Macaca mulatta: one gene and its partner. The protein of the gene in region 1 interacts with the protein of each later gene in a biochemical or structural test. Links are inferred from orthologs where the notes say so. Each region holds a gene or a part of one and is shown on either strand. Other genes may lie near its edges.

Region 1 (16,262 bases):
AAACAATCAATAAATTCAGTATTGATGGAACGTACCTCAAAATAATAAGAGCTACTTATGACAAACCCACAGCCAATATCATACTGAATGGACAAAAACTGGAAAAATTCCCTTTGAAAACTGGCACAAGACAGGGATGCCCTCTCTCACCACTCCTATTCAACATAGTGTTGGAAGTTCTGGCTAGGGCAATCAGGCAAGAGAAAGAAATCAAGGGTATTCAGTTAGGAAAAGAAGAAGTCAAATTGTCCCTCTTTGCACATGACATGATTGTATATTTAGAAAACCCCATTGTCTCAGCCCAAAATCTCCTTAAGCTGATAAGCAACTTCAGCAAAGTCTCAGGATACAAAATTAATGTGCAAAAATCACAAGCATTCTTATACACCAGTAACAGACAAACAGAGAGCCAAATCAGGAATGAACTTCCATTCACAATTGCTTCAAAGAGAATAAAATACCTAGGAATCCAACTTACAAGGGATGTAAAGGACCTCTTCAAGGAGAACTACAAACCACTGCTCAGTGAAATAAAAGAGGACACAAACAAATGGAAGAACATACCATGCTCATGGATAGGAAGAATCAATATCGTGAAAATGGCCATACTGCCCAAGGTTATTTATAGATTCAACGCCATCCCCATCAAGCTACCAATGAGTTTCTTCACAGAATTGGAAAAAACTGCTTTAAAGTTCATATGGAACCAAAAAAGAGCCTGCATTGCCAAGACAATCCTAAGTCAAAAGAACAAAGCTGGAGGCATCACACTACCTGACTTCAAACTATACTACAAGGCTACAGTAACCAAAACAGTATGGTAGTGGTACCAAAACAGAGATATAGACCAATGGAACAGAACAGAGTCCTCAGAAATAATACCACACATCTACAGCCTTCTGATCTTTGACAAACCTGAGAGAAACAAGAAATGGCGAAAGGATTCCCTATTTAGTAAATGGTGCTGGGAAAATTGGCTTGCCATAAGTAGAAAGCTGAAACTAGATCCTTTCCTTACTCCTTATACGAAAATTAATTCAAGATGGATTAGAGACTTAAATGTTAGACCTAAAACCATAAAAACCCTAGAAGAAAACCTAGGTAGTACCATTCAGGACATAGGCATGGGCAAGGACTTCATGTCTACAACACCAAAAGCAACGGCAGCAAAAGCCAAAATTGACAAATGGGATCTCATTAAACTAAAGAGCTTCTGCACAGCAAAAGAAACTACCATCAGAGTGAACAGACAACCTACAGAATGGGAGAAAATTTTTGCAATTTACTCATCTGACAAAGGGCTAATATCCAGAACCTACAAAGAACTCAAACAAATTTACAAGAAAAAAACAAACAACCCCATCAAAAAGCGGGCAAAGGATATGAACAGACATTTGTCAAAAGAAGACATGCATACAGCCAACAGACATATGAAAAAATGATCGTCATCACTGGCCATCAGAGAAATGCAAATCAAAACCACAATGAGATACCATCTCACACCAGTTAGAATGGCGATCATTAAAAAGTCAGGAAACAACAGGTGCTGGAGAGGATGTGGAGAAATAGGAACACTTTTACACTGTTGGTGGGATTGTAAACTAGTTCAACCATTATGGAAAACAGTATGGTGATTCCTCAAGGATCTAGAACTAGAAGTACCATATGACCCAACCATCCCATTACTGGGTATATACCCAAAGGATTATAAATCATGCTGCTATAAAGACACATGCACACATATGTTTATTGCGGCACTATTCACAATAGCAAAGACTTGGAATCAACCCAAATGTCCATCAGTGACAGACTGGATTAAGAAAATGTGGCACATATACACCATGGAATACTATGCAGCCATAAAAAAGATGAGTTTGTGTCCTTTGTAGGGACATGGATACAGCTGGAAACCATCATTCTTAGCAAACTATCACAAGAACAGAAAACCAAACACCACATGTTCTCACTCATAGGTGGGAACTGAACAATGAGATCACTTGGACTCGGGAAGGGGAACATCACACACCGGGGCCTATCTGGGGAGGGGGGAGGGTGGAAGGATTGCACTGGGAGTTATACCTGATGTAAATGACGAGTTGATGGGTGCTGATGAGTTGATGGGTGCAGCACACCAACATGGCACAAGTATACATATGTAACAAACCTGCACGTTATGCACATGTACCCTACAACTTAAAGTATAATAATAATAATAAATAAATAAAATAAAAAAAAAAGAAATAAAGAAAATGATGAAATGTGAAAAAAAAAGATAAAACATATAATAGTTATAACAGGCTATATTAAGCTGATAAAATTTAACTTCAATGATAAAAAAACCTCCACACTTTTACTCTCCCTCCACATTTTATAGGTTTTTAATATTTTTCAGATTTTATGTTTTTGATGTTATAATTCACATCTTTTATATTGTGTATCTGTTAACAACTTATTGTAGTTATAATTATTTTGAATAGTTTTGTCTTTTAATCTTCATTCCAAAGGTATAAGTGATTTATACACCACCATTATAATATTGGAAAATTCTGAATTTCACTATGTTTTTATTTTTACCTGTGACTTTTATACTTTCATAGATTTTCATGTTACTAATTAACATCCCTTTCTTTCAGCTTGAAAAATTCCCTTTAACATTTCTTATAAGGCAGGTCTGGTGTTGATGAACTCCTTCAGCTTTTATTTGTTTGGGAAAGTCTCTATCTCTCCTTTATTTCTGAAGGATGGAACTCTTGGTTGGCAGTTTTTTCTCTTTCAACATTTTGAATATATCATCTCACTGTCTCTGGGCCTAGAAGGATTCTGCTGAGAAATCTTGTGATAACCTTATTGCAGTTCTTGCCTGTGATATGCTTCTTTTCTCTTGCTGATTTTAGGATCTTGTCTTTGTCTTTGATTTTTGATAGTTTGATTATTATGTCTTGGTGTGATCTTTTCTGGATTGAACCTGACTGGAGATTTTTAAGCTTCCTGTACCTGAATATTTATATTTTATTTCAGATTTGGGAAATTTTCATCTAGAAATCTTTAAATATGCTTTCTGACCTCCTTTTTCTCTATTTTCTCCTTCTTAAACTACTGTAATGTGAATGTTAGCTCTCTGTTTTTTAATTTTTAGTTTAATTTCCATTTTTATTTTTTGAGATGGAGTCTCACTCTGTCACCCAGGCTAGAGTTCAGTGGCATGATCTCAGCTCACTGAAACCTCTGCCTCCTGGGTTCAAGAGATTCTGCTGCCTCAGCTTCCCCAGTAGCTGGGATTACAGACATGTGCCACTATCCCTGGCTAATTTTTTTGTATTTTTAGTAGAGATGGGGTTTCACCTATGTTTGTCAGGCTGGTGTCGACTCCTGACCTTAGGTGATCCACCCACCTTGGCCTCCCGAAGTGCTGGAATTATAGGCATGAGCCACTGTGCCTGGCTGAATGTTAGCTCTCTTTATGCTGTCCCATAAATCCTATAGGCTTTCATCATTTCTTTTCATTCTTTTTTTCTCCTCTCACTGTATATTTTCAAAAACCTGTCTTCAGTTCACAGATTCTGTCTTCTGCTTGATCAAGTCTGCTATTGATGACTTCTACTGCATTTCTCACTTCATTCATTATATTTTTCAGCTCCAACTTTTTTTTATCATTTTAATCTTTCTGTTATATTTCTTATGCTGTCCATTTATTGTTTCTCTGATTTCACCAAATTGTTTCTCTGTGTCTGCATCAAAGTCACTGAGCTTCTTTAAAAGCAATTATTTTGAATCCCTTGTCAGGCCATTTGTAGTACTCCATTTCTTTTGGGTCAGCTACTGGGAAATTATTGTGTTTCTTAGGTGGTGATATTTTAATTTGGGTTTTCATGTTTCTTGCTGCCTTACACTGATGTTTGAGCATCTGGTGGATCTGCCGCAATTTCAGGCTGTATGGGCTGACTTTGGTGGATAAATACCATCTTATGTAGGATAATGCAAGGATGCTGGCTGGGTGGGATGCAAAAGTTCTAACTTCAGTGGGGGCAAAGCTGTGTGGTCTCCATGCAGATCTGTCAGCTGAGGTTGGTGTCGGTGAAGACTACAGGGATCCTTAGAAGCCAACACTGTGGGTATCTATAGTGGCAAGGAGGCTGTTGAGGTTTTCAGTGGTGACAAGTCCTCCGTATCTCTTTTTTTCCCCACCTGGGAAGTTGTGACTGAAGAAATTCCTCTTGGAACTAGGTCTAACTTGCAGGCCTGCTTATGGTGGTGGTGGCACTGGTGTCTGATGAATAGTGCCCATGGAGTGGTCAAGAGTCAAGGCCTGAAGCATGGGCATGCATGGAGGGACCACAGCACCAGATTCAATGGTAGCAATGGCACCAGTGCCCAAGGCACAGGCATACTTACTATCACATTGACAATAGTGTGTAAAGTGCAGGTACATATAAAGCAGCTGAGGAGCAAGGGACTTTACTGCACGTATATGCAGAGCTACAGTGGCTCCAGGATCCCGGGTGTGGGTTAGCTCTCCTTGTTGGCTGAGCTGGTGACTGGAGCATGGACAGGCACAGAGAAACCTTGATTCTGGGACTGGGACCCAGGGTGTGTACTAGCTCACTGTAATGGTGGCTCTGGTGTTGGAGGTGTGGTTGTGTGTAGCGCAGCCTCAGAGCCAGGGTCTGGAGCACAGGCGTGCACATTACTACAGTAGCTCTGGAGTCAAGAATAGGGGTTAGCTTTCTACAGTGGCTGAACTGGTGTCCGGAGCAAAGACTTTCACAGAGAGAACTTGGTTTGGGGTCCCACAGTGAGATCTAGTTCACAACAGCAATGACTCCAGTGTCTGAGACATGAGTAGGTGCACTGCAGCCACAGAGCCACAGTCCGGAGTGTGAATACCTGCAGAGCAGCCACAACTTTTGGGGATCAGGGAAACACATAGAGTTGCAAGAGGTGGCAACCCTGGCCCCAGTCCTGGGGCAGTACAATAGCTGCTTCTTGGTGAGGGGGTTTGGGGGGTGGTGCAACTGTGTCTCCCTTTCTAGCATCCTGCTGTGGGGATGGCTGTTGGTTACCTTAGTGACAAAAGATGCCAGTGTCCTCTGTGGAGCAGGACACTGGGGGCCACAGTGGCTCTTACCACGTGACTGACACTGATAGCCTACAACTTTCTTTATTCCTAGATATCTCCTGGTGTCTCATATAGGCCAGTCTCACTAGTGATTCTTCTACATGGATATTGTTTTCTTTTCTCCATTTTGTTGTTCCAAATTCTTTAACAGGCTCTTGAGCCCCACCCTGCAACTCCCCACCCTCTTGAGGGCTATTTTGATTTGTGTATAGCTGTCTATATTTGTTTTTTCTTGGGGCATAAGGCTGACATCTGCTACTCCACTATCTTGCTAATGTCACCTCCATAGGAATCTTTTTATGTTTTTTTTATATTCACTAAAATTTAACAACATCAACTTAAAAACATATTACCAGTTGCACTTATTAATATGAAACTTATTATCAACAAGAACCTATCAGGTTGGGCATGGGGGCGCATGCCTGTAATTCCAACATTTTGGGAGGCTGAGGTGAAAGGATCACTTGAGCCCAGGAATTCAAGACCAGCCTGGGAAATATAGTGAGACCCTATCTCTAGAGATTTTTTTTTTAATTAGCCAGGAGTGATGGTACACATCTGTAGTCCCAGCTACTCAGGAGGCTGAGGTGGGAGAACTGCTTGAGCCCAGGAGGTCAAGGCTGCAGAAAGCAGTTATCATGCCACTGCACTTCAGCCTAAGGACACAGAGTGAGACCCTGTCTGAAAAAAATTAAAAAAAAAAAAAGAGAACCTACTAGTCTACATACCACCCTTCCTCATCTCCATCTGAGACTATATATATATATATATATTTATATATATATTTATATATATTATATATTATATATATTATATATATTATTATATATTATTATATATATTATTATATATAGTATATATATTATTATATATTATATATAATATATATAGTATATATATTATATATATATTATATATATTATATATATAATATATATAAAATATATATATACACTATATATATATAATATATATATATATATATATATATTTTTTAACATGAGGCAATGCCAAAAAGAGGGGCTGGTGAATGAAAGTAAGAACAGAAAGACATGGAGGCAAGTCTTGTAGAATAATAGCCAACACTTAAACTTACACTTACAGCATGCTAAGTATTGTTCCAAACACTTTAAATTCATTTAATTGTCCTTACACGTCTATGTGTTTGGTGATTATTAACCTTATTATTCACATTGCTGAGTGTATTAGTCTGTTCTCATGCTGCTGATAAAGACATACCCAAGACTGGGTAATTTATTTTAAAAAAAGAGCTTTAATGGACTCACAGTTCCACATGGCTGGGGAGGCCTCACAATCATGGCAGAAAGCAAAAGATACGTCTTACATGACAGCAGGGAAGAGAGAGAAATGAGAACCAAACAAAAGGGGTTTCCCCTTATAAAACCATCAGATCTCATGAGACTTATTCATTACCATGAGAACAGTATGAGGGAACCACCCCCATGATTCCATTATCTCCTACCAGGTCCCTCCCACAACCTGTGGAAATTATGGGAGCTACAATTCAAGATGAGATTTGGGTGGGGACACAGCAAAACCACATCACTGAGGAAACTGAGTCATACGGAGATGAGTAACGCCCAACACAGCTGGTAGGTGGTGGAGCTAGGCAGTCTGACTCTGGGGTCTAGACTCTGAACTGCATCATGCTGCCAAGAAGTTCCTCAGTTTTTCATCTCTCTAAGCTTCCCTTATTCCCCTACAGTCATTCCTTCAACAGCATCTCCTTCACAATCTTTTCTACTTCTACTATATAATTAATTTCTTCTTCTTGGTACCAAATTCCAAAGTGCAAATGCAGCCTCACATGCCCTAATTCATCTTTACCTTTAGACTTTCTTCCAATGTTTCTACTTCATTCCATTTTAAATTTATCCATGAGATGCCTATTTACAAGCTGTAACCATCATGAAGTGAATGAAGAATAATACCTACTACTACACAATAGAATTCTGAGAGTATAAATAGGAGTTATGGCTTTCTGACTTGATACTAAATACCTGATACTTGATTTTGCTGTCTGAGATCTAATCTGAAAAGTAGTAATAATCGCTAACATTTGTTGAGCGTCAATTGTGGGCCAGGTGTCATTTCAATCACTCTCTACATATTAACTCATTTGATTCTACAACAACCCGGTGAGACAAATTTTGTTATTCTATTTTACAGTTGAGGAAACAGAGGCATAGAGAGTTTAAGTAATTTGCCCAGTGGATAGCCAGAGGCAGAGCCAGGATGGGTCTCAGGCTGTTTAACAGCATAGCTCAAGTCTTAACTACTATGCCAACAGCTTTTTGGTCCTACATATTCCATGGGAAGAGGAAAATAAAAAGGTATCTATTTGTATACCTTTTTATTTCTGCTATAAGAAGCAGAATTTCTTTCATGTGACCTATGTCTATTTAATACGTCATTTTGAAACTTACCAGTAAACTTCCCTAAGTGCCAGAAAACCGTTAGTGGCTTTTTCCTTTTCTCTCTAATTTTTATTGTGCTACTATTTTTGCTCCTTTCCCTCAGAAGGCTGCTGGAATAGTAAACATTCACTGACATTTCACGACAACTGGAAAATGGGCACTGGAAAATCACATTATGATTAATTCAAAGCATATTTTCCAAATGTACGACTTTAAATTGGGGCTTATATCATAATCAAAGGAAACCTTTGTGTATGTACTGTTACCACGTTGCTCAGCGCAGGAATGATTCACCTTGCCCTGTCTCCAGACCATCTCCCATGGAAGGGGGTGACCCCTTTGCCTCTTGGCAACCACTGTTTCTAAGCTGCCAACATCACCCTCGCATTATCAACATTCTAACTTCATGGGAAGGGCTGTGGTGAGTTTCTGGAATGTGAATAGGAAGTTGTTTTTCTAAACAGCCTGACACTGAGGGGAGGCAGTGAGATTATAAGAAGTCCAGGTTGGGCGGAAGGCAGAAAACCAGCAGAGTCGCAGAGGAGATGGTGAGTTTATTTTTTTTCTGCATGGGAAGTGGTTGAAGTGAGTTGGAGTGGTTTGGGACTAAGTCAGGCAGGTAAAGTTTCAGAAAGTGAGGAACAGCGATAGCCATGGAGTTTTATGTTGAATTGCCTATTAGATTTTGTGAGTGCTTTTAAACTTGCTGTCCACTTTGACCCTCCCAACATCTTTGTGAGTTGAGGTTGCTATTTCTATTTTACAAATGAAGTCATTGTGGCTTACAGAGGCTTTGTTTTATCTAAGCTGCACTGTTAGGCTACATGATGTTGGGATCTGGGTCCTGTCCTCTGGCTCTGCAGCTGCTGTTCCTCCTACTGGAATCTACAGGGGCTCTCTGAGAGTAGATCATGGTAAACCTGTCACCCCATTTTCCAAGACTGCACTTCTGTCTGGGATAAATGATGAAATAAATGGAAGACTGGGCAACTGCCCTGGGACAAGCTTACAATGGAAGAGTTTCTCATCCCCATCCCTCCCATTTCTTTCTGTGAGCCTATGAATCTTCTGGGACTGATCTGGAATATACACATAGTTTCCATTTCTGCCCTAAGTCTCAATCTTGTTAATGACTCAGTTTCTTCTTCTATAAAATGGATATAGTAATAATACTCTATAGTTTTATCATGAGGATTAAATAAGATTTTGCTGAAAAGCATCCAGATCTGAGCCTGACACATAGTAAGTGTTAGTAAATGTTAGCCATTATTGTTAGAAGAAAAAGAACAATCTTAGGAATGGTGGGGTTTAGGATTCAGGAAAGATCCAAGGATAGCTAGGCATTTTGAACTCAGCAATGTTATATGCACCTAGATAAAATGCACATGGTTAGGCTACTTCTAATTTTCCCCAGACTTTCCAAGAGTATCCCACGTAGTCCCAGGGTCTGAAATCCTGCAGTCTGTGGCTGTGGAGGAAACAGGCAGCTCTCTGTTTTTGAGCACCGTTCTGTGGGACTCCAGAAAAAAGTACCGCATACATCTGATTCATCCCACTTCTTTGCTTTACTATAGCACACTTTTCAACTACTTATAATGTGGGGTTCCGTGTTGGGGAAAACAGGAATGAGAGTATGATAAAGAGAAGAGGAAGGAGTTTGAGCCTGTCCTAAGTTTGAACCACAATGACATGAGGATATGAGTTACTTTTGTCTTATCTTTTTGCATGTCATACTTCTGAATTGGTTAACTTAAATGAGCAGTTCTTCCTCCCTTCTACTCTCCTTGGTATCCTTCTGTATTTCAAAGGTATGAACATAATTATTGGATCATAGAGTTCTTTGAGATTTTGATGAAAGTTACAACTTGTCTTTCTCAGATGAAAGCAAAAACATCCACATAAACACCAACCTTCAGAGACAACCACAGGAGGTTCCCAGACCTCCGTGTGGATCCCACGATCAGAACCTTTCTCGATTGCCTCCTGTGCTTTGTGTTCAGAAGCCCCTCTGTAAGTTTTGCTTCCAGTTCAGAGAGTGGCTTTAATTAACTTTTAGGACCTGAGAAAATGAGGATAAGGTTTTTCTGGTGGGGTGTTTTCAATCAGATAGATCTCAGAGGAGTAACTCTTGACTGGGAACTTATAGTTAAATTGCATTGATGTTTGTCAAACTTTTAGCAGGCTACGGCTGGGCGCAGTGGCTCATGCCCGTAATCCCAGCACTTTGGGAGGCTGAGGTGCATGGGTCACTTGAAGTCGGGAGTTCAAGAGCAGCCTGGCCAACAGGGTGAAACACCATCTTTACTAAACATACAAAAATTAGCTGGGCATGTTGGCATGCGCCTGTAATCCCAGCTACTCAGGAGGCTGAGGCAGAACAATCTCTTGAACCCAGGAGGTGGAGGTGGCAGTGAGCCGAGATCATGCCACTGCACTCCAGCCTGGGTGACAGAGCAAGACTCGTCTCCAAAACAAAACAAAACAAAACAAAACAAAAAGTTTTAGTGGGCTAAGGAGCAGGTCTGGATTATTTTCCATTTATACCTTTTAACCACCTTAGCTATGTGGCTTCTAGTCCTTACTCTTCTTTTCATTACCTGTTTTTCAAAATGCAACTAAAATAGTTCAGACTCTCCTGGGCTGGCCACCAGCTCTTAGAATGTGCATCTTCAGAGATCTTTAAGTAGAAGCTTATTAATCAAATCCTCAAAAATCAAAATGACTTACTACATAAAAAGCTGTGCTTAGAAAAAACCCTGGATCTAACCCTAGAGAGTAGGTACACAGTGGTTTTATAAATGACATTCGTTATATTGTCTTCAAGGTGTCTAATCTCTCTGATTGAAAAGTAAACCTGAAACTTTATGAAGTCAAATGCAGAGCAAATCCTTACTATTTGTAGAGATATAACTCATCTCCGATCCAATGACTTTTTTAAAAATTTAAGTATGGTACTTTATTTTTAATGCTAATAGTTTACTCAAAATAATGGCAATTAGTAGTCTAAATTAAGTATATGCTTGGATTCTAAATGTTGATGTCCTAGGTCCCTTCCTGTCTATATTCATAATTTGCTCTTTGGCTTAGAGACAACCTCTTTTCTCACTGTATTTCTTTTTCCACCCCTAAGCTGGGCTACTCATATCTGTGCCACACCACTACCACAACCATCATCCAGAAACATAAGGGAACTAATGTATTAGCTGTAATAGCTTGTAACATCTGGGCTTTGCTACCAACAAGTTGTATAGTTCTGCATCCTCCATGACTCTCATATTCACCTCCCCCATTTGCATTCCCACTGATGCCAGACCAAACCAGTCCCTCTTTAACTCTCACTGGACCATTGCAATAGCCTCTTCTTTTGCAGTGCAATCTCCCTGATTCTAACTCATTGAAGAGAAAAAAAAAAAAAAAAAAAAAGATCGCACCACTCTCACCCCTATAATCTCAGCATTTTTGGAGGCCAACAAAAGAGTTTTGCTTGAGCCCAGGAGCTCCAGGCCAGTCTGGGCAATATAGTGAGAACTTATCTCTACAAAAAAATTAGCTGAGTGCGGTGGTACATGCCTGTAGTCCCAGTTACTCAGGAGGCTGAGCTGGGAAGATCACTTGAGCCTGGGAGGTGGAGGTTTCAGTGAACCCAGATCATGCCACTGCATGTTATCCTGGGCAACAGAGCAAGACCCTATCCCCCAGCCCCCCGAAAAAAATCATACCACCATTAAGTGCATGTGTTCATGATACTTCTCTGTTCAGAACCCTGCAATTAGATCCCTTCTGCCAACTGGTATTTGTGACCCACAAGATCTGGTTTCAAACTACATTTTCAATTAAACTCGAGGACCTCCCAATCTTCAGCAGGCTGGAGTGCAGTAGCGCCATCTCAGCTCACTGCAACCTCTGTCTCCTAGGTTCAAGTGATTCTCCTGTCTCAGCCTCCTGAGTAGCTGGGATTACAGGCATGTGCCACCATGCCCGGCTAATTTTTGTGTTTTTAGTGGAGATGGGGTTTCTCCATGTTGGTAAGGCTGGTCTTAAACTCCTGAACTCAAGTGATCTGCCTGCCTTGGCCTCACCAAGTGTTAGGATTACAGGTGTGAGCCACCCTGCCCAACCTCCCTTGGCTTATCGTTGCCCTTAGAATAAAATCTCATCTGCTTGTTTTGGATCCCAAAGCCTGATGTGATCTGTCACTACCCCCATCTCATATTTTTCTCTCCATTGCTCATTCCATTCTGGCCACACTAATGTCTTCATGTTCTTTGAACACACTGCAGTTTGCTTCCACCTTAAGGCCTTTGAAATAGCTTTTTCTTCTTCCTTTAATGCTCTTCTTCCTGCTTCTCACTGACTGGTTTCTTGTCATTCTTCTCTCCACTTAAACATTATCTCATTAAAGAGGTCTTCCCTGACGTTCCTGACCAACATAGTGACACAGTCATTCTATCACATAAGTTTCATTTCCTACCTAGCGCTTATGGCTATATTCTATTAATATTTTTCATGTTTACTTGCTTAGTACTATTGCGTAGTTATTAGTATTTGTTTCATTGTCATATCTACCAATAGAATGTGCATTCTATGAGGACTGGAATTCTGTCCGTCTTCACCATTTTATTTGTTCACTTAGATATTATCACTAATGTAAAAGTAATACACTCAGTTATAATTATTATGTATTTTTCCAACATTTTTCTATTTAGCATATTTTTATCTTACTTTCAGTCATTCCTCTGCCATTATTCATTCATTCATTTATCCATAAAATGTTTATTAAGCATTAAGTATGTGCCATACCATGGCTGGGGATTCAGACCTGAGTGAGTAATAGTCCTTGCCCTTGAGAAGCCTCTGTCAGTAGCTTCCTCAGTTGTATACTCACATGTTTGTCGTGCATTTAAATTGTGGACCTCCTGCTCAAGAGAATATTCAGAAATGGAGATGCTGATTAGAGGACATTGGAAACAGATGACCATAAGGAGGTCATCTTTACTTTCCAGTAAAGCAGAAGAATGAGAAGAGAATAGGGCCATGGAAGTGGGAACCTAGAGAAACCCTTACCTCTGCAAGGGAAGGCAGAGGATTGAGGTAGATTCAGAAGACTCAGAAAAGTTTCTCAAACATTAGAGCAGAAGAACAACAGAAGAGCTAAGGGAAGCATTTTAGGCAAAAGGAAGTAGTGGTATTTATTGCTACAGAAAGGTCAAGGAAGATAAGGGTGGAAAGTCTTCATTTGGTTTGGTAATGAGGATGTCAGCAATGAAGTTTGCAGGAACACTTTGCTAGGATGATGGGGCAGTGGGCTGGAAAGTAAAGGGGAGGCAAGCAAGTTAAGAAAGTTTAGCTATAGAGGAAGGACAGAAATTGGGCTGATATGGGCAGGAGAACAAAGGGTCAAGGGACGGACATTGTTTGATTCTGCCTTCTTAAAAGCACAAAACTGTGGTCTACAATGTAGACAAAGAGAACAGGATCTCGTTTCTGTGGCACTATTCCTGCCAACTTTGTAAGCCACCTGGAACGTGGCAAGCCATGGGACACCTACTAGCCTCTGGTACCTCCTTCTATGAAAAGTTAGGTCAAGGCATTTGCTTATTCCACTTTCTCTCTGCTTCTTTCTTTACCCTGCAATCATTATTAGTTTTTTTTGTTTGTTTTGTTTTTTGAGAAAGAGTCTCACTCTGTCGCCAAGGCTGGAGTGTCTTGGCTCACTGCCACCTCCGCCTTATGGGTTCGAGCGATTCTCTTGCCTCAGCCTCCCAAGTAGCTGGGACTACGGACATGCGCCACTATGTCCAACTAATTTTTGTATTTTCAGTGGAGACGAGGTTTTACCACGTTGCCAGGCTGTTCTCGAACTCCTGACCTCAAGCAATCTGCCCACCTTGGCCTCCTAAAGTGCTGGGATTACAGGCCCGAGCCACCCCACCCAGCCTAGTTCTTTATTAAAGTAAAATTAAAGATAATCATGGTGCTTAATGAAGGCTTACAGAGGCACAGGATGTTATTCTAATGACCGAGTCTCTGACTCCTTTCCAGCAACTTCCAGTTGAACCAGGCTTCCAGAGCACATCAAAGACTAGCAGAGCATATGGATGCTTCTAGAGAGGAATTTCCTCTTGTTTTCGTACTTAACTTGCTTAGTGACACAGGACAGAGCAGCATCCTGAAGACTATAATGCAGAGTAGGAGCAGGTGTGAGAAGGCCTGCCCACCCCAAGCAGGTTTCAGAGGAAGATTGTTACTCGAAGAAGATTTTTAAACATCATCCATTCTCCACACCTGCACACAAAATCCTTGTCAGTTGCCTTACAGTTAACACAGAATCTTGAACTCGGGCCCCATTATACATGGACAGATTTAGTAGGTCATGAACCATCTGAGATTGTCTAAAATACTGCAAGTATGCATATGTTTTGAAGAAGTCTGACCATGGCTTTTATCAGATTTTGAAAATGCACAAGCCCTGGAAGAATAAGAATTACTGTGTTAACCCTATGTACATTCAGGTGAGCAAGCTTGGGCAAATCATTTACACTCATTGAGTCTCAGCGGTGGGGAGCGGTGGCCGCCCCATCTTAGGCATTCATGATCTGAAGACTTACTGCAGAACAGCAGATAAGTGCTAAGTTAGCTTGAAAGTGACCTTTATGGTCTCCCACAAGAGACCATAAGAGGTGAATCTTGATATTTGGTGATGCAAGGAAACAGAAAACTATGTCAGATTAAAGCAGGGGATGCACACTGACTTGCATTTTCCTTTCTTAGATGTTGTGCCCTTATCGGAAGCACTGTACCAGTCCTCTAAAATTTTAAAATATTTAAAACAAGTTCTCTCGCTCTCTCTCACTTTCTGTTTTGTCTCGTGTGGTACAGAATTTGCTGACGAAATTTTGCTTAAAAAAAGTGTAAACAAACGAACAAACAGGTTAAATGGGAAACATCTCTTTTTGGAAACTTTGTTTAAACCACATCTTATTTAAAAGTTTAAACAAACAAGCCAAAACAGGAAACAGTGGGTAGAGTTGACCACTGTGATGGGAGACTAGGAGACTCGCCGACTCCCTCGCCCCACACACTCTTGTGAGCTGGCCCCAAAGCCAGGGAAATCCCTAGAAATACTCTGTTCAGGGAGAAAACCACTTCCACAGGAAGATTACCACTAAATTTAAAATCGTTGCACTCGTCCTGCAATCTGCCTGAGTAGAGGCAGAGCCCAGGTTCAGAGACAAGCACTTAGGTCCCTTCATGAAGCCTGCAGAGTTGTGCTCTTCAGCAGCAATATTTTTGCTCCTATACCTCCAAAAATATCCTGGAGCACTACGTTACCTCTTACACCTTTCTAAGTGGAAAGCTACAATTTTTTATCCCAAATTTTAAAAGCAAAAGAAGATTGGATTTTCCAATGTATTACAAAAATTAGACTTTAAAAATAAAATTGTTACATAATTTCTTAAAGTTTATCCAATGGAATAAAGTACTAGCGTGATCTGCAATCCTCATCACTTAAAAGACCACAAGCAGACTCTTAGTAATAAGAAATTTTATGTTATTCATTTTTCTCTCCTTGAATACTTATTTCTATCCCACTTCTACATTATTTAGCCTAAGACAACACATTTTAAGCTTAAAGTATTTTCTTGATTATTGTACTTCTTTGCAAAATAAAAATATAATATAAAATTTTAATTTTCTACAACCATAAGTCTCTATGTGTTAAAATGTTTTTCTATTCTATTGAGTTAGCATGACAGCTACTTTTAGTACACAATTAAATAAACTAAGGTAAATATACTACAAGTTTTGACAAGTAATTTAAACCTTTGTATTTAAATTACTATTGAAGATTGGTCTCTAAGAGAGGAGGAGCTTTCCCCTATTTGTTCATATATCCATAAATGAATATTATTTATCAACAAAATCCAACAAGTTTAGCATCAATATTATTCCCATATTTCATTTTCAAGGATTTAAACCTGAGAAACTTCATTCATATGAATAAGTAAATGGAATTAGAAGTTTTATTGTAGCAATGTCTCAATTCCTTGAAGTCCTTCCAAGTTATATGCCCCAAATTACATAGTGATTTAATATCAAAATTTAGTCAAAGCTGACAACTTAATTGAGTGCTCCCTCAAAGCTGATGAAAGGAACTAAATGGAAATCACCATACTTGAAAAAGGATTTGCTGCAATATCATTTAAAATATTCAAATTCTTAATACCTATACCAATATTTTGAATCATCTTTGGCATACGAATGTATTTATATCCAAGGGCAAAGCTCTAGAATAAATAAGAAATTAGTAAAAGGTATAATATTTCTCTTGTAAAGCAGGAGAAAGGTGTATTTTAGGAAAATTGTTTTTAAGAAAGTATATATGTGAAAGTTGAGAATCTGAATATAGATTTAATTAACACTCTCTTTGCTTGTGAAACCCTTGGGAAGTCAGCCTTATCCTGGTTTGAAGATTTCTGCTTCAGCATTTGGAATGGTGCACTTTGAAATGTGTTCGTAACAACAGCTTGTGACACAACACAATTCAGAGAAAGCAGTGGGGTTAGTTTCTCACTAAGGGATTATCTGTCACTCTACTTTTTGTGCAAATAAACAGCACCATAAATCATAACGTCATGATACTCTCAGTGTTTAATCATAGGTCCTGCAGAGATCAGCAGTTTATAAGAACACAAAATATGCCTACT
Region 2 (16,249 bases), on another chromosome or scaffold:
GACCATCCTAGCTAACACGATGAAACCCCGTCCCTACTAAAAATACAAAAAAAAAAAATTAGCCGGGTGTGAGCCGGGCGTGGTGGTGGCATGCGCCGGTAGTCCCAGCTACTCAGTAGGCAGAGGCAGGAGAACTGCTTGAACCTGGGAGGCGGAGGTTGCAGTGACCCGAGATCGAGCCACTGCACTCCAGTCTGGATGACAGAGTGAGACTCCATTTCAAAAAAAAAAAAAAGTATATGGGTATAAAATATACATATACTTTCCCACTCTTCCAATTTCATTATTTCCCAGCAAAGAATCATTCAGGGTCTGCCTGCAAATGGCAAATGATGTAGCACTTCTCTGGTCTGAAGACTCTTTTCTAGGAGGTAGAAGTGGGATTTCACTTCTGCTAGAACTTAAGTACCCCAATTAGGCCTGGACTCTGCCTCCTGCACAGGGGTGGAAGAGGGTCTTAGAAAGGTCCTTTTTATGGGATGAGCCCACCCAGCTCAGGCCATTCTCTGAGGCAAACTCTGCCCACCAGAAGCTTTCTTCCCCCATAGACTTTATAACTTGAGGCTCCGGAAGGAAGAACAAAATGTGGAAACTGATGCGATGCCAAATGATTTCTCATGATTTTTTCTGCAGCTGGGTTCTTCATTTTTCTTCACTTCTACTGAAAGATTTTTTGTGTGTGCCATCTGGACTGAGAGAATTTGGTCTCACAGTTGTCATAGGATGGATGAATTGAGGCAAACTCAAATTTCTGCTTGAGAACTCGCCAGTGATGGAAGGAGGGCGATTCTGAGGCCCCGGGGGCTGGACAGAGTTCCTTTCCACCTATTTGCTTTGTGGGAGTTGGGAAGGTAAAGGCCACAGAATATATTGACTTGTTAACTTATTTAAATTACTTTATTTGTGAATGAGTGATGGTACAAGCTAATGTAATGGAAAACACATCTCATTCTCTTCTGCCCTGGCCACACAGTTTCTCTCCTCAGTGGCCAAGACAATTTCTTGTGTATCTCTTTGGAAATATTTTCTCTGTCAGGCTTCTGTTTTTGTTTTTTTATTCTTAAAATTTAATATTTATTTATTTTTTGAGACAAGATCTCGTTCTGTGCCCAGGCCAGAGTGCAGTGGTACCACCTTAGGTCACTGCCGCCTCCTGAGCTCTAGCAATCCTCCTGCCTCAGCCTCCTAAAGTGCTGGGATTACAGGTGTGAGCCACCCCTGGCCAGTTTTGGTTTTTTTAAACACAAAGTACCGTACTGTACACACTGCTATGTATCTTGCTTTTTTCACTAAAGAATTTATCTTGGATTTCCCCTCTAGTATAGATTATGTTCCTTTATTTTTAATGACTTCATAATATTTCATGATATAACTGTGCTGCAACAAATCCCTGAACATACGTTATTCTGCATTTGTAGAAGTTTATCTGTAGGTTAAATTCTTTTTTTTTTTTTTTTTTTTTTGAGATGGAGTCTCATCTCTGTCACCCAGGCTGGAGTGCAGTGGCACGATCTTGGCCCACTGCAACCTCTGCCTCTTGGGTTCAAGCAATTCTCCTGTCTCAGTCTCCCAAGTAGCTGGGATTACAGGCATCTGCCACCATGCCTGGCTAATTTTTGAATTTTTAGTAGAGACAGGGTTTCACCATGTTGGCCAGGCTGGTCTTGAACTCCTGACCTCAGGTGATCTGCCCGCCTTGCCCTCCCAAAGTGCTAGGATTACAGGCGTAAGCCACTGTGCTCGGCCAGGTTAAATCCTTAAAATAAGAAGAATGTGCATTTTTAATACTGAGATATGTGAAATTCCTTTCCATAATCCCATCAGCATCGATGAGAAAGATTTTTCTTACATCCTTGCCAACACAAGGGAGACACCGAATTTAAATTCTGACCAAAGAGATTAAGAGTTGGCCGGGCGCGGTGGCTCAAGCCTGTAATCCCAGCACTTTGGGAGGCCGAGACGGGCGGATCACTAGGTCAGGAGATCGAGACCATCCTGGCGAACACGGTGAAACCCCGTCTCTACTAAAAAATACAAAAAACTAGCCGGGCGAGGCGGCGGGCGCCTGTAGTCCCAGCTACTCGGGAGGCTGAGGCAGGAGAATGGCGTAAACCCGGGTGGCAGAGCTTGCAGTGAGCTGAGATCCGGCCACTGCACTCCAGCCCGGGCGACAGAGCCAGACTCCGTCTCAAAAAAAAAAAAAAAAAAAAAAAAAAAAAGAGATTAAGAGTTGCTTCTTTATTTTATTTCAAACACCACAGTGTTTGAAATGTAAGAATTTGATGCTTACCTCTAAGCATCCTATTATTCAATTTGCATCTGAATACAGTCACAATTCTTTGTCTTTACACTGGTTTTCTGGTCTCAATGAGGCTTAAGATAATTTGAGTGACTCTACAGGAGGAAAAAGGAACTAATAGTCAAAGAAAATCATCGTGGTTTATTAGCTTTATAAGGATTCCAAAATGCAGGGCTTTTTACATTCGGCACAAGAGTTGTTTTTGTCTTCCTGACAGTGAGCCCGTAGGGTCCCAGTGGCCAGCAGGGGGCAGCACGTACACACAGAGAGTCCGGCTGGGACGCCACCAGCTGATTCAACATGCTGCAGCTACTGGACCTAGGACCTCATCAGTCAGAAATGCAAACTCACTTTGTTACCTTTACTGCCTTCTCATGGTTGGCAGTGAAGCACAAAGCTCGACTAAAAGACCAGGATAAATGGAAATATTCAGTGCCAACCAAGTGCAGGGTGGCACAGAATTAAGAGGGAGTAAGAGGGCTGGGTGCAGTGGTTCACGCCCAAATTCCAGCACTTTGGGAGGCCGAGGCGGGCAGATCACGAAGTCAGGCGTTCCAGACCAGCCTGACCAACATGGTGGAACTCCCTCTACTAAAGATACAAAAATTAGCTGGGTGTGGTGGCGTGCGCCTGTAGTCCCAGCTACTCAGGAGGCTGAGGCAGGAGAATCACTTGAACTCGGAAGGCAAAGGTTGCAGTGAGCCCAGATCACACCACTGCACTACAGCCTGGGCGACAGAGCGAGACTCCATCTCAAAAAAAAAAAAAAAAAAAAAGGATATTATGAACACAACTAAGAATAGCATCATGTTGTAGAACAGAATTTAAATTAAATATTTGGTTATTCCAGCCCCTATTTGTGCTATAAAGCACAGAAGGAACACCTTTATTGGATTCACATTATATTTCATACCTATTTTGCCAAAAAGTGCTAAAAATGTCAACTAGTTAACCCCTGCGTCTTCTGTTCCTCTAGAAACAGGATTTATTATTTTATCTTAAAAAGCAAATGAACCTGTTTCCTTAATATTAGTCCATTCAACCAGCAAATACTGATTGCATGCCAGGTGCAGTGGGTATTGGGTAGACAAGACATAGCCTCTTGGGAGGCTAAGGCAGGAGAATGGCTTGAACCAGGGAGGTGAAGGTTGCAGTGAGCCACTGTACTCCATCCTGGGTAACGGAGTGAGACCCTGTCTAAAAAAAAAAAAGAGAAAGTGGTGGTGCAGGATTCAAATCCAGGTCTGACCCGAGAATCTACCATGTGCTGTGCCAGTCTGGTCTGAGGTCTGCACATAGAAATTGTAGGCATCGTCCAGGCACGGTGGCTCACGCATGTAATCCCAGCACTTTGGGAGGCTGAGGCAGGCGGATCACCTGAGGCCAGAAGTTCAAGACCAGCCTGGCCAACATGGTGAAACTCCGTCTCTACTAAAAAAATACAAAAATTAGCCAGGCGTGGTGGGAGGTGCCTGTAATCCCAGCTACTCGGGAGGCTGAGGCAGGAGAATCGCTTGAACCCAGGAGACAGAGGCTGCAGTGAGCCAAGTTTGTGCCACTGCACTCCAGCCTGGGAAACAAGAGCGAGACTTTGTCTCCAAAAAAAAGAAAAAGAAAAAGAAATTGTAAGCATTGCTCCTCCCTCAGTATTCCTCAGAAGAGAACCAGCATCAGATGAGGGAGTTTTTCATACTATCTCATGAAAGCTATGAAAACTGAAAGTTAAAACTTTCCACACATACATCAATTTATGCAATCAATCTGTTTCAAAATCATTCTATGCCACACTTTCTCTACAAAATGGAAATTGGCCATGTGTCTCAATGAAAAGTTCAGGATAACTGGTAAGAGTCTCGATTTGGTTTAGCGGCATGAGTTATTACTGGCTAAGTTTTTTTTTTTTTTTTTTTGAGACGGAGTCTTGCTTTGTCACCCAGGCTAGAGTGCAGTGGCCGGATCTCAGCTCACTGCAAGCTCCGCCTCCCAGGTTCACGCCATTCTCCTGGCTCAGCCTCCTGCGTAGCTGGGACTACAGGCACCCGCCACCTCGCCCGGCTAGTTTTTTGTATGTTTTAGTAGAGACGGCGTTTCACCATGTTAGCCAGGATGGTCTCGATCTCCTGACCTCGTGATCCGCCCGTCTCGGCCTCCCAAAGTGCTGGGATTACAGGCTTGAGCCATCGCGCCCGGCCTTAAGTTTTTTTTTTGAGACAGAGTCTCTCTCTGTTGCCCAGGCTGGAGTACAGTGGCGCAATCTCGGCTCACTGCAACCTCCGCCTCCTGGGTTCAAGCGATTCTCCTACCTCTCTGCCTCCTGAGTAACTGGGACTACAGGTGTGTGCCACCATGCCCAGCTAATTTTTTGTATTTTTAGTAGAGACAGGGTTTCGTCATGTTAGCTAGGATGGTCTCGATCTCCTGACCGTGTGATCTGCCCACCTCGGCCTCCCAAAGTGCTGGGATTATAGGTGTGAGCCACCGCGCCCAGCCATGACTCAGTTTTTATTAGCAAAAAAACTACGAAAAACCAGGAGAAGCGGATGAATAATAGGAAGAAAGAATTATAAACCAAAAGAACTGCAAAGGAAAAATCAGGCAGTTTTCTTGAGTTTCTAGCTGTACAGGAAACAGGGTAGGGTGGAGACCTGTAGAGAAGATTCTTACCTGGGTTGGGCCTCCAGTTGTCAAAGACCTGGGCAACACCTCCAGTAGGATGCCCAGGGGGAGCTCCTGGGCAGAGGTGAAGGGCTTTGCTCTGTGAATTATCCAGTCTCATTAGCTGGTGATGAAATGGTTCACAAAGCACAGATCCCAAGTGCCTTGCCAGTTTTGGGAATTATTTGGAGACTGATATTCTTTCACGTATTACACAGAGGCAGAGAAGGTAATTACCTTCTGGTTCCTGGCACCTTCAGTGGAAGAGTAAATATTAAGTGAGAGCTACTACTCTGAGGCAGGCAGTATTCTAATATTTACATATACAATAACTCTTTAATAACTAATTACTAATGATGTTATTATCTCCATTTTATAGATGAAGGAACTGAGGCTTTTTGTCTCCAGCAAAATTAGCAGAGCCACGGCTTGAACTCTGGCAGTCTGTCTTTAGAGGCTGTCTTATTCTAGGAATACCACCAGTTAGTTCAACAAGCAGCTTGTGGAGGACATACTATGCTCCCTGCCTTGGAACCCGGCACTCCTGAGTCACAAACAGTCCATATTTTCACCCGGAAAAGGAATGGAGAAGCTGGACCAGAGTATTTATTCTTTCTTTCTTCCTTTTCTTTTTCTTCCTTTCCTCCCCTCCCTCCTTCCTTCCCTCCCTCCCTTCCTCTCTCTCTCTCTCTTTCATTCATTCAGAGTTTTGCTCTTGTTGCCCAGGCTGGAGTGCAATGGCCTGATCTCTGCTCACTGCAACCTCCACCTCTCAGGTTCAAGCTATTCTCCTGCCTCAGCCTCCCAAGTAGCTGGGATTACAAGGTATGAGCAACCACGCATGGCTAATTTTGTATTTTTAGTAGAGACAGGGTTTCACCATGTTGGTCAGGTTTGTCTCGAACTCCTGACCTCAGGTGATCCGCCAGCCTCAGCCTCCTAAACTGCTGGAATTACAGGCGTGAGCCACCACGCCCGGCCAAAGTATTTCTATACAATGTGGTACACTGTTAAACAGGAAAGTCCACTTGTGCTCGACAGAAATTCTTGTGTTCCCAAGCACATCTTAAACGTGCTTGGAAAGTTACTGAGCAAGTGACTGACCTTCAAGGCACAAACCGATTCGGTCACTATTCAGTCAACAGACCCATTGCAGATTTCATTGTCGCTTTGCTTCCCTGAAACTTACTTTGTTTTAATGAGACTGTTCTGAAAAAGTGAAATTTAAACAAATTTAGAATCTTCCTACTCTGTGGTTTGCTTTAAAGACTGAAAAATGCTTGGGCTAAACCTTAAATAAAAAGATCAAGTCTTGCAATTAAAAATTGAACCAAAAATACTAACGAGAGTGTTCTGCAACAGTGAAATTTAAACAAATTTTCAACCATACTAGGTTTGGTCTCTGCTGTTTGCTTTAAAGATTGAAAAACACTTGGGCTAAACCTTCAATAAAAAGATTAGGTCTTGCAATTAAAATTTAAACTCAAAATACTCCACCAGTAAAATTACTTCAACTTTTATTGTGTACTTGAAAGTTTTCACAAGATGGATAGGAAAAAGGTATTCCACCAAAATCTAAAGAGTGATGACGAATCTCCTCTTTGTGCCAGTTCATTAAATTGCCTAATGGCAACTACGGATAAGTAAATGCCTTTAACCCGAACGGTTTTGCTCTTTAAACGAATGACGGGCAACAGAGACCGAAAAAGTGTATCCCCAGGAATTCGAGAAGGACGGTGAATTGTAGTGGTACCGCCAGGAGGGGAGGCTCCTGCCCCCTGAGTAGAACCAGGGAGCAGAGCCGCTCGGGGTGGGCGGTGGGGGCTTCAGGACCGCGGAGGGGATCCCCTCAGGGTGGGCCGTCTCCTCCTCGCCCGCCGCAGGCAGGAGCGGGGGGGACCGAAACCCTGTAGTTTGCAGCGTCCGGCAGCGGGTCCGCGCCCAGCGAGAGGCTCCCCAGCTCCGGGGAGGATGCGGACCCGGGACGCCCCCGTGAGCTCGCTGCGCCTGCCTGACACGAGGCGCTCACAAAACAAAGCAAGGGCTTCGGGGAGGGCGCGGCCGCGGGGCCGAGCGCGCAGATCGCTCCGGACCCGGGCACCGCCTGCGAGCCGCGCCGACCAGCAGGGAAGGGTTAGCGCTAGGCGGCGCCCGGGTCCAGTCTGCCAGGGTGAGTGTCCGGCCCGCGTCCCCGCCACGCCCGCTGCGTTCCCCTTTCCTCTGCGGCGGGCCGAGAGATAACCCCGCCCGAGGAGCCCCGGCGCCCGCCCCCCACGCGGGTCGCACTGGAATTCGCAGCCCCTCTCGGGTCTCCGGGGCACATTTTGCAGTCTGGGTGGCAATGCACTTGCTCCAGGACCAGCTGCTGCCCAGCCGCGGCGGACGGGCGGACTTTTCTTTTGGGGGGTAAGATGGCAGGTCCCGGGAAACAAAGGAAACTTGGGCCCGGCCCCCAGCGCGGCGTGTGTGGCTCGCATGTGTGCCCCGGGTCCTGTGTGGAGTCGCTGGGCGCCTGTGCCAGCCTGCCCGCTGCCCGCAGCCGGCGCGGGGAAACCAGCCGGGTAACAGCAGCCGGCGGCGCCCGCCCACCTGCGGCGGCGCCCGCCCGGGGAGCTCCCTCGCGGGCCGGACCCGCGGCGGCGGTGGCGGTGGCGGCGGCGGGGGAGGGGGCGCTGGGGAGCCCAGAGCAGGGCGGGGAAGGCTGGGAGGCGGCGGGCGGCGGCGGAGGGGAGCCGGGGTGGGCGGGCGGCGCCACGTCACGGCTATTGTGGCTGTCCTGGTATATAAGGTCCCGCCGGCTCGCCGCGCTCCCCACCTTTCCTGCGCCCGCCCGGAGCCAGAGGTTCCTCAGGTACCCGGCATCCAGCGAGACGCGCAGCGCACCGACGGAGGGGACATGGGCAGAGCAATGGTGGCCAGACTCGGGCTGGGGCTGCTGCTGCTGGCACTGCTCCTACCCACGCAGGTGAGGCCCTGGCGCCCGGCGGGGCTCAGGGCCGTGCCCGGGGTGGGGGCGGGGGAGATGGACCAGGTCCCGGGGGCCGTCCTGCGCCCATACTTCGGGCCACGGACAGGGACTGGGAGAGAATCTTGCTTAGCTGACCAGGGGAGAGGGCCATGTGGACCCCATTTTTCCACTCCCTTGCGTGCTGCCCCCTCCCCTCCCACGGCCCTGGGAACAATGCAGCTCCGCGCGCGGGCTGAGAGGACTCAGCCCCACCCCAGGTTCCACGCTGTCCCTTCCCAGGCGGCCAGGTGCCTGCTTCCCACTTTCACCCAGAGGCCCGAGGTGCCCGCAGGGATTAGCGCCTGGAGAGCTCAGGCTCCCGGGCGACGTCGTCCCTGGGTCCCCTGAGGACCCGCTTCCCCCTACGAGTGTCTTCGCGCTCCCCGAGCTCTACACAAAGACAGGCGACCGTCCCTTTCGGGGAGGGCGGCTCACGCCCATCCTCCACCCTCGGAGTTGGACTGGGGATCCCGGAGAAGCTACGGCTATCCGGCTCTTTTTAAATCCCAATCCCGGGAGGTTCGGCGCTGGAGCCGAGGTGGGGACCCTCTCCTGACGCCGCGTTCTCTGCGAGGCAATCTTTCACGTCCATTGCTTGTCATCTTAGGATCCCCATGTTATTTTAGCCCAGATTGGCTAGTTCTGGGGAGGCGGCATGGTGGGACGATTCTGTCCCGAGTCCCCGCCAGGCTTTGTCCGGGTCGCCGCTACCAGCGCCTTCTCCCTAGACCCTCTATCCGGGGAATCTCGCCTCGGGTGCGGGTACCGGGGACCGCGCAGCGCTGCCTCGTGGGTGGATGGATGCACGGTGCAGGCGAGGGAGACCGGGGGCTGGGCCTGGGAGACCCTAGCGGGGGCGGGGGCTAAGAAGGTACGTTTGTCCGGGGGAGTTCGGGTTTGGGGGATGGGAGTGAGGGCTCTCCAGCGCCTTCGGTTGGGGTTAATAGAGGACTGTCTCTGGGGCTTCTCCCCCAAAAGTTGGGCGCGCTGGGCCCTCCGTCCCCAGACATCGAACGTCTGGGCTCACGTGGGAGTGCAGCCTGAAAATGTGCAGCGCTCTTCCCCACCGCGGGCCGGGTAACCGTACCCTATTGTCTTCCTCCCAGTCCGCTGCGCTCCCGAGCCCTCCTCAATTCTTTGATGGGGGAGGGGCGCGGCCGCGAGAAACCGGCCCCCTCTACTCCCCGCCCCATCTTCTCTCCGACCAGATTTTTTCCTCCAACATTGTAAGTGAGAAGTTTTAATAATGCGAATAAATCTAGCTTCGGAGAGAAAATTTTGTTTAGTGTCCGTTTAATAAATTTTTGTTGGTGTAGAGGATCTTTAGATCCTCAGATTGATACACCGGGTTTTAAAAAGAAAATATCACCTGCAGCACTAAAACTAATTGTATGAATAAAGAACAGGTTACTTTCAGGGATCCCAAACAAGGTGTCCAAAACAGGCACCCTGTTTTAAGTAAATTACCATATTAATGCTTTTCTTTATTGGGAGTGCCGTTTCCTGATGGGACACACTAAATCTTGCACACAGTAGGTGCCCAATAAATAAATTGGACTTGATACAGATTTTTTTGTTGTTGTCACTAATCTATTTTGGATAGAATTTGTACATTTCTTTAGTCAATATTTGTTTAATGACTTTATGGATTTACAACAAAAGGAGCTGGTGCTGATGTAGGAGGGCTTTATCTTTGGATTAATAGGCAGCCAAATGTACATGGGGCCCAGACTCTTGCCTGGTGCCACGTCCTCCCTCCCGCCTGTAATCAGAAGCCCTTGTAAACCCTCCCTTGCAGTGAGGGCTGAAAACTCCGATCTGCCTTTGTTCCATGACAAAGGAGAGATTATCACGTGCCCTACTGGACTGTGCATTTCGTGGCTTGAAAAATCAGTGGTGAATGATGCCACTCAGACGCTGGGACACTGGGAGAACCTTGGTTCTTGGCCACAGCACTGAGCTTAGTGACCAGTGAGGCTGCTGCTGGTGAAACTTAACACCATACCCTCTCGCTGTCTTTTGTGAAATCGTTCCGACCTCATGGTGTTTTCTTGAAGTCATTCTGCCTTAAAGGAAAGACTCATTTTCTCTTTCAATTTAACACAAATATTGTGGCCATTTTTTAGAAGAATTATTTCAAATTTCAAGGGAGAAGATAAGACTGCAGTTCCCCCCTTAAGGAAAAGGCTAAGTTTCCAAGGCTGTATTAAATGAGTATGTGAAAGTTACCTAGCAAATCCAGGATAGACACAGACCCAATTAATTCTAGTTCCGTAAGTCTCAGTTACAATATTTAAAAATCCCCATTTTTTTGTGCAACTTTAAAATCTCTCCCTTTCTGCGAAAATAGACCTTATTGCAATGCCATTAAGTCAATATAATCTCGGAAACCGAATTAGTTAACTTGGTCCTTTTTTCCTTTGCAAAGAAATAAAAACAGGAGTTATAGTTATTGAATAACTTTTTTGTTCTTGTTGCCACTTGGCATTTTTGAGGCATCTCTAGGTAGTTTGCTTTGAAACTAAAGAGAATGACCTTGGTGGGCTGAGCAAGAATTTACAATTTAATGATGTTGGGTAAGAGAACAATGGTAAGAGAGCAATCTAAGAATATATCACCTACTTTAATTTTATATTAGAGTATGCGGAGGTAGCTGTGATGTGGAAATTTATCCATGTAACTTTTTATGTATTTTAGATTTATTCCACTGTAACGACTTCTGCACCACTTTCAAGTAACTCCTCCCAGAATACTTCGACTACCCCAAATCCAGCTAATACCACCACCAAGGCCGTTGGTGGTGCCCTGCAGTCAACAGCCAGTCTCTTCGTGGTCTCACTCTCTCTTCTACATCTCTACTGTTAAGAGACTCAGGCCAAGAAACATCTTCTAAACTTCCCCATCTTCTAAACCCAATCCAAATGGCGTCTTGGCAAGGAAAAACAGGTCTTCATTGAATCTACTAATTCCACACCTTTTATTGACGCAGAAAATGTTGAGAATCCCAAATTTGATCTGCTTGAAGAACATGTGAGAGGTTTGACTAGATGATAGATGCCAATGTTAAATCTGCTGGTGTTTCATGTACAAGATGGAGAGGCAACATCCAAAATAGCTTAAGACATGATTTCTTTGAATGTGGTTTAAGAAATATGGACACTTAATCCTACCTTGAAAATAAGAATAGTAATAAAGGATGTGATTGTGGAATGGAGATTCAGTTTTCATTTGGTTCATTAATTCTATAAGGTCATAAAACAGGTAATATAAAAAGCTTCCATGATTCTATTTATATGTACATTAGAAGGAACTTCCAGGTGTTACTGTAATTCCTCAATGTATTGTTTCGACAGCACTAATTTAATGCTGATATACTCTAGATGAAGTTTTACATTGTTGAGCTATCGCTGTTCTCTTGGGAACTGAACTCACTTTCCTCTTGAGGCTTTGGATTTGACATTGCATTTGACTTTTTACATAGTAATTGACATGTGCCAGGGCAATGATGAATGAGAATCTACCCCCAGGTCCAAGCATTCTGAGCAACTCTTGATTATCCATAAAGAGTCAAATGGTAGGCATTTCCTATCACCTATTTCCATTCAACAAGAGCACTACATTCATTTAGCTAAACAGATTCCAAAGAGTAGAATTCCAGTGACCGCAATTAATTTCAAAATACTTTTTATTATTATTATTATTTTTTAGATGGAGTCTCACTTTGTCGCCCAGGCTGGAGTGCAGTGGCGCGATCTCAGCTCAGTGCACCCTCTGCCTCCTGGGCTCAAACGATTCTCCTGCCTCAGCCTCCCAAGTAGCTGGGATTACAGGCACCTACCACCATGCCCGGCTAATTTTTGTAATTTTACTGGAGAAAGGGTTTCACCATGTTGCCCAGGCTGGTTTCGAACTCCTGACCTCAGGTGATCCGCCTGGCTTGGTCTCCCAAAGTGCTGGGATTATAGGCTTGAGCCCCGTGCCGAGCTGTCAAAATGCTTTTTATATCTGCATATGTTGAATACTTTTTACAATTTAAAAAAATGATCTGTTTTGAAGGCAAAATTGCAAATCTTGAAATTAAAAAGGCAAAAATGTAAAGGAATCAAAACCGTAAATCAAGTATTTGGGAAGTGAAGACTGGAAGCTAATTTGCATTAAATTCACAAAAACTTTTATACTCTTTCTGTATATACTTTTTTTTCTTTAAACAGTTATGGATCAGAATAGCCACATTTGGAACACTTTTTGTTATCAGTCAATATTTTTAGATAGTTAGAACCTGGTCCTAAGCCTAAAAGTGGGCTTGATTCTGCAGTAAATATTTTACAATTGCCTCGACACACAGAAACCTTTTTAAAAATAGACACTCCCCGAAGTCTTTTGTTCGCATGGTCACACACTGATGCTTAGATGTTCCAGGAATCTAATATGGCCACAGTAGTCTTGATGACCAAAGTCATTTTTTTCCATCTTTAGAAAACTACATGGAAACAAACAGATTGAACACATCTGAAGCTACTGTGTGTGTGAATGAACACTCTTCTGCTTTATTCCAGAATGCTGTACATCTCTTTTGGATTGTATATTGTGTTTGTGTATTTATGCTTTGATTCATAGTAAATTCTTATGTTATGGAATTGATTTGCATTGAACACAAACTGTAAATAAAAAGAAAGAAATGGCTGAAAGAGCAATCTTGCATTTTAAGTTTTTCCAGTATGAGGAATACTTTGTGGGTAATCATGGTTCTATGAGCCTGTTAAAATTTTTAAAAATAATTAACAAATTTTGGGGATTTTTTTTTTTTTTTTTTTGAGAGACAGGGTTTCACCATGTTGTCCAGGCTGGTCGCGAACTCCTGGGCTCTAGTGATCTTCCTGCCTTGTCCTCCCAAAGTGTTGGGATTACAGGCATGAGCCACCACTCCAGGCCCCAAGTCTGTTAATTTAAACCATAGGGATATACCTCAGTATTTTTCTTTCTCTTTCTTTCCTTTTTTTTTTTTTTTGAGACAGAGTTTTACTGTGTCGCCCAGGCTGGAGTGCAGTGGTGTGATCTTGGACATTTAAACTGAGATCCAAATGACAAGACAATTGTAGGAGGATCTGAGGAAAATTCCCTGGTAGAAGGAACAGCATGTGCCAAGTCCACGAGCCTGCAGCAATTTTTCCCCTATCTATAGGTCCACAGATCCTTTTGGTTATCTACCTACCTACCTACCTACCTACCTACCTACCTACCTACCCACCTACGTACCTATCTATCATCTGTCTGTCTAATTTATGAGATAGGTCTTACTATGTTGTCCAGGCTGGTCTTGGACTTCTGGGCTCAAGTGATCCTCCTGCGTTGGCCTCCCAAAGTACTGGGATCATAGGCCTCCCGAAGTGCTGGGATTACAAGCCACCATGCTTGGCCCTCTTTGGTCATCTAAATTGTCACTTCCGTATGCTCCTTTCACGCCCCTGAGTTCCTCTGAGGCCCTTCAAGTGTGTTCCGAGGTGACTGAGGGACAACCTGGAAAGGCAGGCTGGAACTTGGGAGTATGTGGAAGTTGTAGTCTACAAGTTTCCTTTCTTCTTTCCTCCCTCCTTCCCTCCCTTCTTTCCTTCTTTCTTTCCCTTTCTTTCCCCTCCCCTCCCCTCCTCTCCCGTCCCCTCCCCTCCCCTCCCCTCCCCTCCCCTCCCCTTTCCTCTCTTCTCCTCTCCTTTCCTTTCCTTTTTTTTTGAAACAGAGTTTCGCTTTTGTTGCCCAGGTTGGAGTGCAATGGCACCATCTTGGCTCACTGCAACCTCTGCCTCCTGGGATCAAGTGATTCTCCTGCCTCAGCCTCCCGAGTAGCTGGGATTACAGGCACGCGCCACCACATCTGACTAATTTTGTAGTTTTAGTAGAGATGGGGTTTCTCCATATTGGTCAGGCTGGTCTCGAACTCCCGACCTCAGGTGATCCACCTGCCTTGGCCTCCCAAAGTGCTGGAATTACAGACATGAGTCACCGCGCCTGGTCTTGCAAGTACACTTTCTTCAACGAACTTCAGTTCTGCTTTTAGGGTCTTTCAATTGATGGAATAAGACCCCCTTTGATGATCTAGGTATCTATCTATCTATCTATCTATCTATCTATCTATCTATCTATCTATCAATCATCTATGTGTACCTATATATACACACACACACAAACATGAGGAAGAAATACAACTATTATAATTCTCATTTCTACAATGGGTCATGTGGCTGTAGCTGGTTTTGCAGTTACCTTCTTCCATTATCAATTCCGTATTAACTTGGCTGTCAGTAAACATCTCAGCTGGTCATGCTTCTAAGCCTGGCAAGGTGAACCAAATCTTTGCTTGAATTTTATTGTGGTTTCCCATTGATTGTATTTTATTTTATTTTTGGAGACAGAGTCTTGCTTTGTCGCCCAGGCTGGAGTGAAGTGGCATGATCTCAGCTCACTGCAACCTCCACTTTTTGGGTTAAAGCAATTCTCGTGCCTCAGCCTCCCAAGTAGCTGGGACTACAGGCACACACCACCATGCTCAGCTAAGAGACAGGGTTTTACCATGTAGGCCAGGCTGGTCTCAAACTCCTGACTTCAAGTAATCTCCGTGCCTCAGCCTCCCAAAGTGCTAGGATTACAGGCGTGAGCCACTGTGCCCGGCCTCCCACTGACTTTAGTGACAGGACATAGTAGTACTAAGAGATGCCCTAAAGCATCTGTATTTCAAACATACTTTTCCTTAACTTCTACTGTATAGTAGCAACCCAATTTCCCCATGGTAATCAGAATTAATCACTTCAATAGTACAGTAACTCCCTTCTTTGCCTTTTTTTTTTTTTTTTGAAACGGAGTTTCACTCTTGTTGCCCAGGCTGGAGTGCAATGGTGCAATCTCGGCTCACTGCAACCTCCGCCTACAGAGTTCAAGCCATTCTCCTGCCTCAGCCTCATGAGTAGCTGGGATTACAGGCATGTGCCACCATGCCAGGCTAATTTTGTATTTTTAGTAGAGACGGGGTTTCTCTATGTTGATTGGGCTGGTCTTGAACTCCCAACCTCAGGTGATCCACCCGCCTCGGCCTCCCAAAGTGCTGGGACTACAGGCGTCAGCCACCTTGCCCGGCCTTTCTTTGCCTTTTGATGCAGAGGCTTGAGGAGCCCAAAGTGATTGGATGGCAGTCTTAACTTCCAGTTCAGTGGGATCATTGCTGTGTTTCCAGATTGCAAGCATTCTTCCATTGGAGCTACAACCTCTAGACCAGTAGAGGTTAAAGTAGTGACAATTTTGCTAGTGAATCACTAGGGGTAATGGTGAGTGGTGTCACTAAATTTCCACTCCTTGATTCTTGGGCCTGCAAACCTGGCTATGGGAGAAACAGCACCATATTTAGACCACATATAGCTTCCTGGAGGACACTGCCCCAGTCCTGCAAGGTATTGCCATGTAGTTGGTCCTGTAACTTGTTTCCAAAATGCCATTCCTCTGTTCCGTCACATCAGTGGCTTTATGAGGGACACACTATGCTAAGATCAGTACATTCCATCACCATGGGCCCATCGCCACATGTCATCGGCTATGAAGTGAGTTCTCTGGTCAGAAGCAGTGCTGTGTGGATTACCATGATGGTGACAACCATTCTATAAGTCCACAAATGGTAGTTTTGGCAGAGGCACTGTATGCAAGAAAGGCAAATTCATATTCTGAATAAGTGTCTATTTTACTAAGAACAAATGCTGCCCCTTCCATGATGGAAGAAGTCCAATGTAATCAACCTTCCACCACACAGCTGGCTGATTACCCTGGGCAGTGGTGCCACAGAGGAGACTCGGTGTTGGTCTCTGCAACAGCAGGTTGGGCACTCCCCAGTGGTTGTAGCCAGGTTGACTGTGGTGAATGGAAGTCTACGCTGCTGGGCTTCTGCCACCATGAGCCCACTGGACAATGACAAGAATGGCTGGAGAAAGAGGTTGATTGATATCCACAGAATGAGTCCTCCGATCCCTTTGATTATTAAAATCCTCTACTGAGCTCACACTTTAACGAGCATTCACATGAGACACAAATATCTTCACATTGTTTGCCTATATACCTCTATCCTTGCATCTCTTCCCTATATCTTCTTGTTACAGACTTTCCAGTTATGTCTCTTCCACTTCCATTCAGCCAACTCATGAGTCATAGCCTGAATGCCAGATTCCTATCTCTGGCCATTTCTCCTTTCAAGCAAAATGAACAACCAAGTGCACTGCTTGTAATTCTGTCCACTAGGGGTATTTCTCTTCACC

What was found.
Region 2: the proteins of SELP (region 1) and CD24 form a complex in vitro, tested with the Homo sapiens proteins (2 studies listed by BioGRID and IntAct). The link is inferred for Macaca mulatta from reciprocal best matches to the Homo sapiens genes SELP and CD24.

Annotation. Positions count from the first base shown.
Region 1 is NC_133406.1:27,127,455-27,143,716, reverse strand, and holds the start of SELP (P-selectin), read left to right. Parts: upstream 1-7,963; 5' UTR 7,964-8,099; coding exon 8,100-8,102; intron 8,103-16,262. UniProt on the Homo sapiens protein: Ca(2+)-dependent receptor for myeloid cells that binds to carbohydrates on neutrophils and monocytes. Mediates the interaction of activated endothelial cells or platelets with leukocytes. The ligand recognized is sialyl-Lewis X.
Region 2 is NC_133409.1:78,782,001-78,798,249, forward strand, and holds CD24 (signal transducer CD24), read left to right. Parts: upstream 1-7,767; 5' UTR 7,768-7,850; coding exon 7,851-7,919; intron 7,920-10,658; coding exon 10,659-10,826; 3' UTR 10,827-12,655; downstream 12,656-16,249.